Linked DNA regions of Struthio camelus. The protein of the gene in region 1 purifies or fractionates together with the protein of each later gene. This does not show direct contact. Links are inferred from orthologs where the notes say so. Each region holds a gene or a part of one and is shown on either strand. Other genes may lie near its edges.

Region 1 (3,744 bases):
CTGCTGTAATCATGTCTCTTGCTCCATAGCGCGCAGTGCATTAGTTGGGTTGTGTACTGTCTACAAACTACAGTTTGCCTAGACCCAACTGTGTAACGCTTCAGCCACCTCTGGACTTGGGCAATTGAGTGTTTTTCCAGTTTCCCACTTACATTTCTAAATGTAATGCCAATTCATAGGCAATACTCAGCAAGAACCTCTTCCCCCTTATTCCCTCCAAAGCAGCAGCAAGGCTTGTTTTCCAAGGCACAATGTCACACCACTGATTGAAATAAACAGCACAGGCTGCTACTTCACCCAAAAGCGATGTCTTTGCTATGCCCTTCCACGACAACTCATTGAGCCACTGAGCACAGACCCAACAAGTGCTTTTCAGAAGGGTGGAACTAACACTCCAGGGAGGAGGTGCCTACTGTCTATATCAGTTTGAAGGAGGAAACTTGCTCCCCTTAGATGCAAGATCTGCCTTTCCATCCCACAAAGGAAGGGCACTGCAGTGCAAGCAGACTCTCAGCAGCAGAGAGTAGCCTAATGATGGCATTATGCCCCTCCTAGTTTTTTGTGTTGGACTTGAGTTGTAATGCTGAGGCACAGACTGCTACTGTAACCCAGCAAGACCCAGCTACGTTATACCAACCTACAAGGGCGACAGTCATCAAAATAAGCAGGATTCATTCTGCCCCATCCCCCACAGTGAACAGCTTGAGGAAAGCCAGGCAAGTGATTCTCTGCAGCACACATGTACTGAGCAGTGCATTTTGGTGCGCTCTCTTGCGCCTGGGAAGGTGCTGCAGGGTAGCTGCCCTTCCACTCAGGGCTGTTTAGTTTGAGAAGCCCTGCAGGACTTGCAGCTCCTCTCCAAACTCACCCTTCTTCCTCAGCTCAGGCTTGCCCTTCTTGACAGTAGCCATGACCATGTCACCCACACCAGCAGCTGGCAGTCTGTTCAGGCGCCCCTTGATCCCCTTCACAGAGATGATGTAAAGATTCTTGGCACCTGCAAGGAAAGTCACCTGCATCAGCCCATCTGTCCCAGAAGAAGCTTCCTCTACAGGGACTCTTGTCAGACCACTGATTGAAGCTAACAGCACAGGCTGTCACTTCACCCAAAAGCGATACTGTTGCTATACCCTCCCACGACATCTCACTGAGCCACAAACACAGACTCAGCAAGTGCTTTTCAGAAGGAAAAGTGTTTTTAGCACCACCACTGTGTTAAACTGCTCCAAGACTTAACACAGTCAAGAATCCATGGATTTGTTCAACAGCTAATTGTTCTATTAATTTACATCCCCTCTCCAGGCAGAGGGTTTCTAGGCTCGGTCTTGAGCCACTGGATCCCTCCTCTTAACTCAAATCCCCAGAAAAAAGCCTGCCAGAGGCAGAAACAAACAAACAATTATAGAAACGTGGCAGCTGGACTCACCTGTGTTATCCGCACAGTTGATCACAGCTCCCACAGGGAGACCAAGGGAGATGCGGAATTTCGCACCAGATGAACCACCACGTCCTGCAGGTTTAAAAAAAAAAAACCAAAACAGTAAGACCACAACTAGGGAGCAGAAACATATTCCAGATGCAACATAACAAGCCAGGCTCTTGCCCTTGAAACTGCCTGTTGCAAAACTCCCAGCATCCAAATATCCCACAGCTACAAAGGTGCATCCCTTCCCAGCCCCAGCTTCCTTAGGCCCCGGCACACAGCTGCCCCACCGCGGGTTTTTAACCCCAGCTGAGCTCCACGTCAAAGCCCCGCGGCCCTCAGAGCGAGCCCGGCCGGGGGGGGGGGGCGGGCGAGGCCCCTCGGGGTACGTCGGCGCCGCCCCCGGGGGTGTCGGAGCCCGTGGCCCGAAGGGCCTCCGCTCCCCGGCCCGGTTCCACCGGGCTCGCGGCCGGGCCGCACCGGCTGTTACAGCACCCCCTGCCGCCCCGCTCCGCCAGGCCGCTCCCGAGCCGCCCCCCGCGCCGGCCCCGCCCGGTCCCGGGGCGCCGCGGCCCGCGGATGGGTCCGGATCCGCCGCCGCCGCCGCCCCGCGCCTATCTCACCCCGCTTCGACATCTTGGCGCCGGAAGAGAGAGCGCCGCGCGCGGCACGCCGGGAAATGAGACCGCCGCGGGGGGAGGGGGGGGCGGTCGTCACGTGACGAGGCCGCGGCGGAGCGCCACGTGACGAGGCCGCGGGGGGGGGGGAGCGTCACGTGGCGCCCCCTGGGGGCCGCCCCGGAGGCGTGCCCCGACCCTGCGCGTGGGGCCACCCCGGGACCCCCCCAAAAAAGATCGACCCCCCCCACCCCACTCACCCACCCAAGCAGACCCACCCGCGGCCGCGACGGCTGCAGGGAGCCCTGCTCGGGAGGCACCGGGACGGCCGAGGCGCTGGGTGGATTCGGTGCAAGGAATACTTGGGCGGGGGGGGGGTGACCTTTTTTTTGTGGAGGGTTGGAAAAAGATAAAAGGAGAAAAAAAGAAGAGGAGGAAAAAAGAAAAAGGGGGCACCCGGATTTGAACCGGGGACCTCTTGATCTGCAGTCAAATGCTCTGCCACTGAGCTATACCCCCACCTGCTTGGGTTGCTAGCTTGGGGACATCTCAGAGTGGACTCCTGGCCCTGGGGATGTCCCTGGGATGCTCTGGGGGTGCTGCCCCACTCGGACCTTCGCCTGCTCCCCCCCTTCCCGGGGGCCTCCAGCAGACAATGGAAAAGAGGTGGGAGCGAAGCTGCAGCCCAGAGGAGGAAGAGCAGCGCAGCCCATTCCAAACAACTCCAAAGGGCCATTTTCTTGCCAGGTTTTCCAGAAAGGTAACGGCTGGTTTCACCGCCGCAGCGTGCGCTGCCCTTTGCAGCGTCCAGGTGTCCATCCTCATCAGGCGCGTTGGCAGCAAGGGGAGCGTGTGCACACACACGAGCGCTGAAATTGCAGCAATCACCAGGCGAAGGGCGACCAGCCCACGGCGATGCCTGGGCAATCCCTGCCCAGTTCCCTCCCGGCTCCTACAGGCTGAGCGCTTGCAGCCTGCGCAGAGGTTTGCCAGGCTCATCCCTGTGCCCTCTCGTTTTGCACCCTCTTGTCAATACGGTTAAGAGTGAGCCGGGGCCGCCACGCATGGCGAGCAAGCCGCCACGGTGACCTCCCCAGGCTCTGCCCTACGGAAACCACCTGGGGAAGCGCTTGCCCTTGCAGCCCCCAAGTCCTGCTTGCACCACGAAACTGCCGAGATGTTTGCTCGGAGCTGCAAAGCAGGGGGCTTTGGTGGGCTGCAAGCAGGATGCCGGAAGGGCCAGGATCCTGGGAGGGCTGGGGACGCAGGAGGTGGGAGCAACGCGCTCGCTCCTGCTCCACAGCACTGCTCGAAAAATGGGACGTTTTGTGTAGTTTCCTCACCAAGACGATTCACTTGGACACAGGTCACCTCCGGAGCAGCTCTCCCCGCGGCACTATGGGGATGAACAGCCCAGGCCTTCGAGGAGCCAGACATGGAGGGCTGAGGACTAGGAGTCTTACCAGAAAAGCAGGACCGAGAGCCGCAAATAGTTACTTTACAAGCTGGTGAAAAACATTTGCAGCCAGCTGATTTATGTGAATGTTTCACGGCTCCTGCTCGAGAAAGCTTTATCAGGAATGCTGCTGAAGAACGGCGCGTCTCGAGCCACGCTCTTGACAGTAAGTCAAGAAATGAATTTTTCTGTGTTATCAGAAAGAATTGCCCTTGTCCATTTTTTTGCCTCCACATTAATTTTCAGCC
Region 2 (3,744 bases), on another chromosome or scaffold:
CTTCTTCCTATTTTACTCAATTAGTCTGCACAAGTGGGTAAATCCAAAAAAATCTCCCAGAGTACCAAAGGTTAGCTAATTCTTTCTCTAATCAGCATGTCCAGAAAACTATATTATGAGCAGACTACCAGTAAGCTCATACATTTTGAAGTCTCCCAGTTTAATGTGGTCCACAAGCGAAACCCAGCAGGTACTGGCACTGACCTGCAAGGAATTAGAATGGACCTGCTGGATTTCACAGTCATTTCAGCAGAGATCCAGCATGAAAGTGCTCGCCAGCGAGACCAAACTGATGTATATGTCAAGGAGTTGACAGTAATTCTGTGCTCTTAAGCCTAAGTTACCAAACTGGTAGAGGCAATTACCTGTGACACTCGAAGACTGCACTTACCCTGAGCAATGACATCCTCAATGTTCTTTCCATTCAGCTCACTAATAACCTGTGTAAATTAAATTTAAAATGTCAAAACAAGAGTACAAGCTACCTTTACACAAGTATTGATTAACGGTGAGCAATGCCTCCATCCCGCTGCCTGCCCAGCTCCAACTCAGTGGAAGGAGCAGAAAATTGAAATACAAGTTCCAGCTAGCTCTTTTGTGCTTTTCTGTGAAAGTTTTCTCATGAAATCTGTTGCAAGAAATTCATAATGAATCCATGGACGTTACAGAAAGTAGGGTGCCTTCTGGAGCCAACTGGGAAACCCCACTAATGGTTTGTTACTCACTGAGGGACTGATAACTAATCTTGCTTAACTTCCACTGGGAAGCTCTGAAGCACTGGGCCTCACACCAAAAACCACAGGGTCCTGTTCTTAGCACTACCAAATGTTAAAGCCAAGCTGGTGACTATATCCTTGCACTGGAACAGAGAGTCCTGACTTCTATTTTACTATCATTGTTGTATAACCAGGGATGAGGAAAACAAAAATTGCTAAAGCAAGCAAGCAAAAAAAAAAAAAATCAAAAAGGAACGTCATAGATCTTACTAATGAGCTCCTGCTATTGGGTGTCAGTGCTGAGCACTGCAGCGTCACCAAAGCCAAAGGAAATGAACAAATGAGGTAAGGCCAACCAAGAAGTTTTGAAGAAATATCTCCTGCTCACACAGAGCATGCAGCCTGTGAAATGCCATGTCTGTGGGCTCCCTTAATCTGGAAGGTGTCATGGCTTCACTAGATTTACACTGGCATAAAGTCCAGCCAGTACAAATATAGAAAGATGGATAACTATGATCAAAACAAACACCAGTGAGACTTTCTGGATATTGAAGGATCAGGAAAAAAAAAAAGTTAAATTTATGAAGGTTTTAAACAAGGGTAAACAAGCCAAAGCTAAAAGACCTGGTGTTTGAACGCGAGTTCAACGCAACCTCCCAAACCCTACAAGGCTTCTGTCCGCTGAGTCAACCCATCATTTTGGCTGAGGGTGAAGATACGGCACCCGAACGGGAAAATAACTTGTTTTTCCTCCGCCCCTCTGGAAACACCCTGCATACAGGTACGCGGCAGGCAGTAAGACAATTTTTCCTTCTTCTTCCCACGGCCATTAATGCAGCAAACGGGAAGCTTACTACATCAGGAGCAGCTTTCCCACTAGAAAGCTCTTCTTAAAAAGCCTGGTTTTCTACGTAACCACTCCCGCACCGTTCCTGTTTGTCTCCTGCCCGTTATGACCGCAGGCCCTTTTCCCTCTGCGTTGCTCAGGGAAGGAAAACGGGCTTCTCCGGGGGGGGGGGGGTGTGACAAACGCCAGGACGTTACTGAGCGTTTGCCCCCTGGAAAAGCGGCAACTCTTGAAGCAAGCACCTTGTTCACGCGCTCGTCGTCCGTCTCGATGCCGACGCTGTCCAGGATCTTCTTCAGGTCCTTGGAGGTGGGCGACTCGTTGCCGCCGAGGACGGCGAGCAGGTAGGCCGCGACGTAACGCATCCTGCGAGAGACAACAGCCGCCTCAGCGCCGCGCCGCCGCCCCAGCACATGGCCGCCTCCCCCTCCCCCCCGGCTCCCGCAATGGTCCCACCCGAGCCCCGCGGACCGTCCCGGGCGGGCGCGACCACTCCCGCGGGAGAGGTGTGTTGGGGGGGGGGGAAGTAGGGAAATGGGGTCGCCGCGCGCTTACTCGGAGGGAGGGGGGGCGGCGCGGGAGAGAGGCCTGCGACGTGCGCTCGCGACGGCAGCCCGGCGGCGAAAGGGAAGAGGCGGCGCCTCGGCGGCGGCTTCTTCCCGTCACCCCTCAGCAACGCGCGCTGCCATTGGGCCGCGCCGGCCGCGAGCCGCGCAGCCAATGGGTGGGTGGGTGGGAGGGGCGGCGGCGAGTAGGCGGCGGCCGCCATCTTGATGTCCGTTAGGGCGGAAGCGGCAGTGGAGGTGCTGCTGCCGCCGTCCCGGCTTCCTCTCGCTTCCTCTCGGCACGGCTCAGGCTAACCCTTCGTTACAGTTACTCCCCCTCGAGCTCCGTTATTAGCGCGGGCTCCCGTCGTTGCTCCGCGCTAGGCCTGGATTGGCGCTGCTGCCGCCTGTGAAATCCAGAGTCTGGCCGTTGCGGCCGCCGTCCTGTCAGCAAAAAAAGGCATCGCGAGGACGGGAAAAAACGCAGCCCGAAGTCGCTCCTGGAGTTAGGAGCCGTGCCAGGAAGGTTAGGCGTTGATCCAGCCTGGATTCCTGCTGGCGAAAATGGCCTTCGTCGCTTGATTTGATTCCTTCACCCCTGTGCTAGGGAAACGAATAAAAACGAGAAAGGAGCGCGGAGGCTCTTAGGAATACTGCGCCAGGATCCAACAGGCCCAAATAAAGCTGCATCACTGCAGTGGAGTGTTATAAGGAAGCTTTGGCCGTTCCTGTCCTGCAGACAGTATAGAAACCCCATACGCAGCGCTTTCCGCTTCTCACCCCTGGGAATTCAGGTGCCTCCAATAAACAGCCAGGCTCCCGGTTGTATAACTTTGGAAGTGTTTCAGGAAAGCAGTCTGGTAAACTAAAAAGCACAGCCATGGGCACAATTAGTTTTTTGCTCCCTGTAGGGACAGAAATTTCCCTCGGGGCACTGCACAGCTTATAGGCAGCTTTGAGCGAGAAGTGCTGAAACAGGGACCTCGCACTTCTCAGGTGGCATTGCACAGCGAGACCAGCGCGCCACAGCATGGAGTCACTGACTGGACACCTGTTGTGAACGCAAAATCAGACATTGCACGTTCTTAACAAAACAAAGAGCAAAATACATGCTGTGGGGTCTTGCCCGGACACAGTGTTAAGCTGAACTAAATCTCTTGCAATGAAAAAATCGAAGGCAGGGCGGCTCCCAGAGTGCAGAGCGATGAGATGCAGCGCAGCCCTGCGAAGGCCCCCCTGCAGGAGCCTCCCCCAGCTCTGCAGCCCCCAGTCCCACACACGTCAGGGCTTGCGGTCTCTGTTCCTGCTTGTTTTTTCTCCTTGAATTTGCAGCAAATTAGAGCGCTATCAGGAGCTGCCCTCGCCTCTCTTTCCCTCCAGGCTAAGCGCACATCTGGCCCCAGCCACCCCCTGCGGGGGAGCAGCGTGGACACCAGCTGGGGTGCGGTGGCAGGGCCTAGTGCCTTGGCCCAGCTCTCCAGAGCCGCCTGCCCCTTGGTCTGCTGCATCCGGCACCTCCTCCAGCGCGGCCCGCCCCGGCAGGCAGCCCGGAGTTCACTGCAAACTTTGCAGGAAGTGGCCGGCTGAGCCGAGCCCGACCCAGCGCAGCAGCCAGGCTTTCGGGACCAAGGTTGTG

The links.
Region 2: the proteins of RPL23 (region 1) and RPLP2 fractionate together in Homo sapiens (co-fractionation; 4 studies listed by BioGRID). This does not show direct contact. The link is inferred for Struthio camelus from reciprocal best matches to the Homo sapiens genes RPL23 and RPLP2.

What each region holds. Positions count from the first base shown.
Region 1 is NC_090966.1:6,317,952-6,321,695, forward strand, and holds the start of RPL23 (large ribosomal subunit protein uL14), read right to left. Parts: upstream 2,169-3,744; 5' UTR 2,060-2,168; coding exon 2,047-2,059; intron 1,511-2,046; coding exon 1,427-1,510; intron 1,190-1,426; exon of another isoform or gene 1,059-1,189; intron 998-1,058; coding exon 869-997; intron 383-868; exon of another isoform or gene 250-382; intron 1-249.
Region 2 is NC_090946.1:16,121,904-16,125,647, reverse strand, and holds the start of RPLP2 (large ribosomal subunit protein P2), read right to left. Parts: upstream 2,259-3,744; 5' UTR 2,119-2,258; intron 1,930-2,118; 5' UTR 1,929-1,929; coding exon 1,806-1,928; intron 441-1,805; coding exon 392-440; intron 228-391; exon of another isoform or gene 95-227; intron 1-94. UniProt on the Homo sapiens protein: Plays an important role in the elongation step of protein synthesis.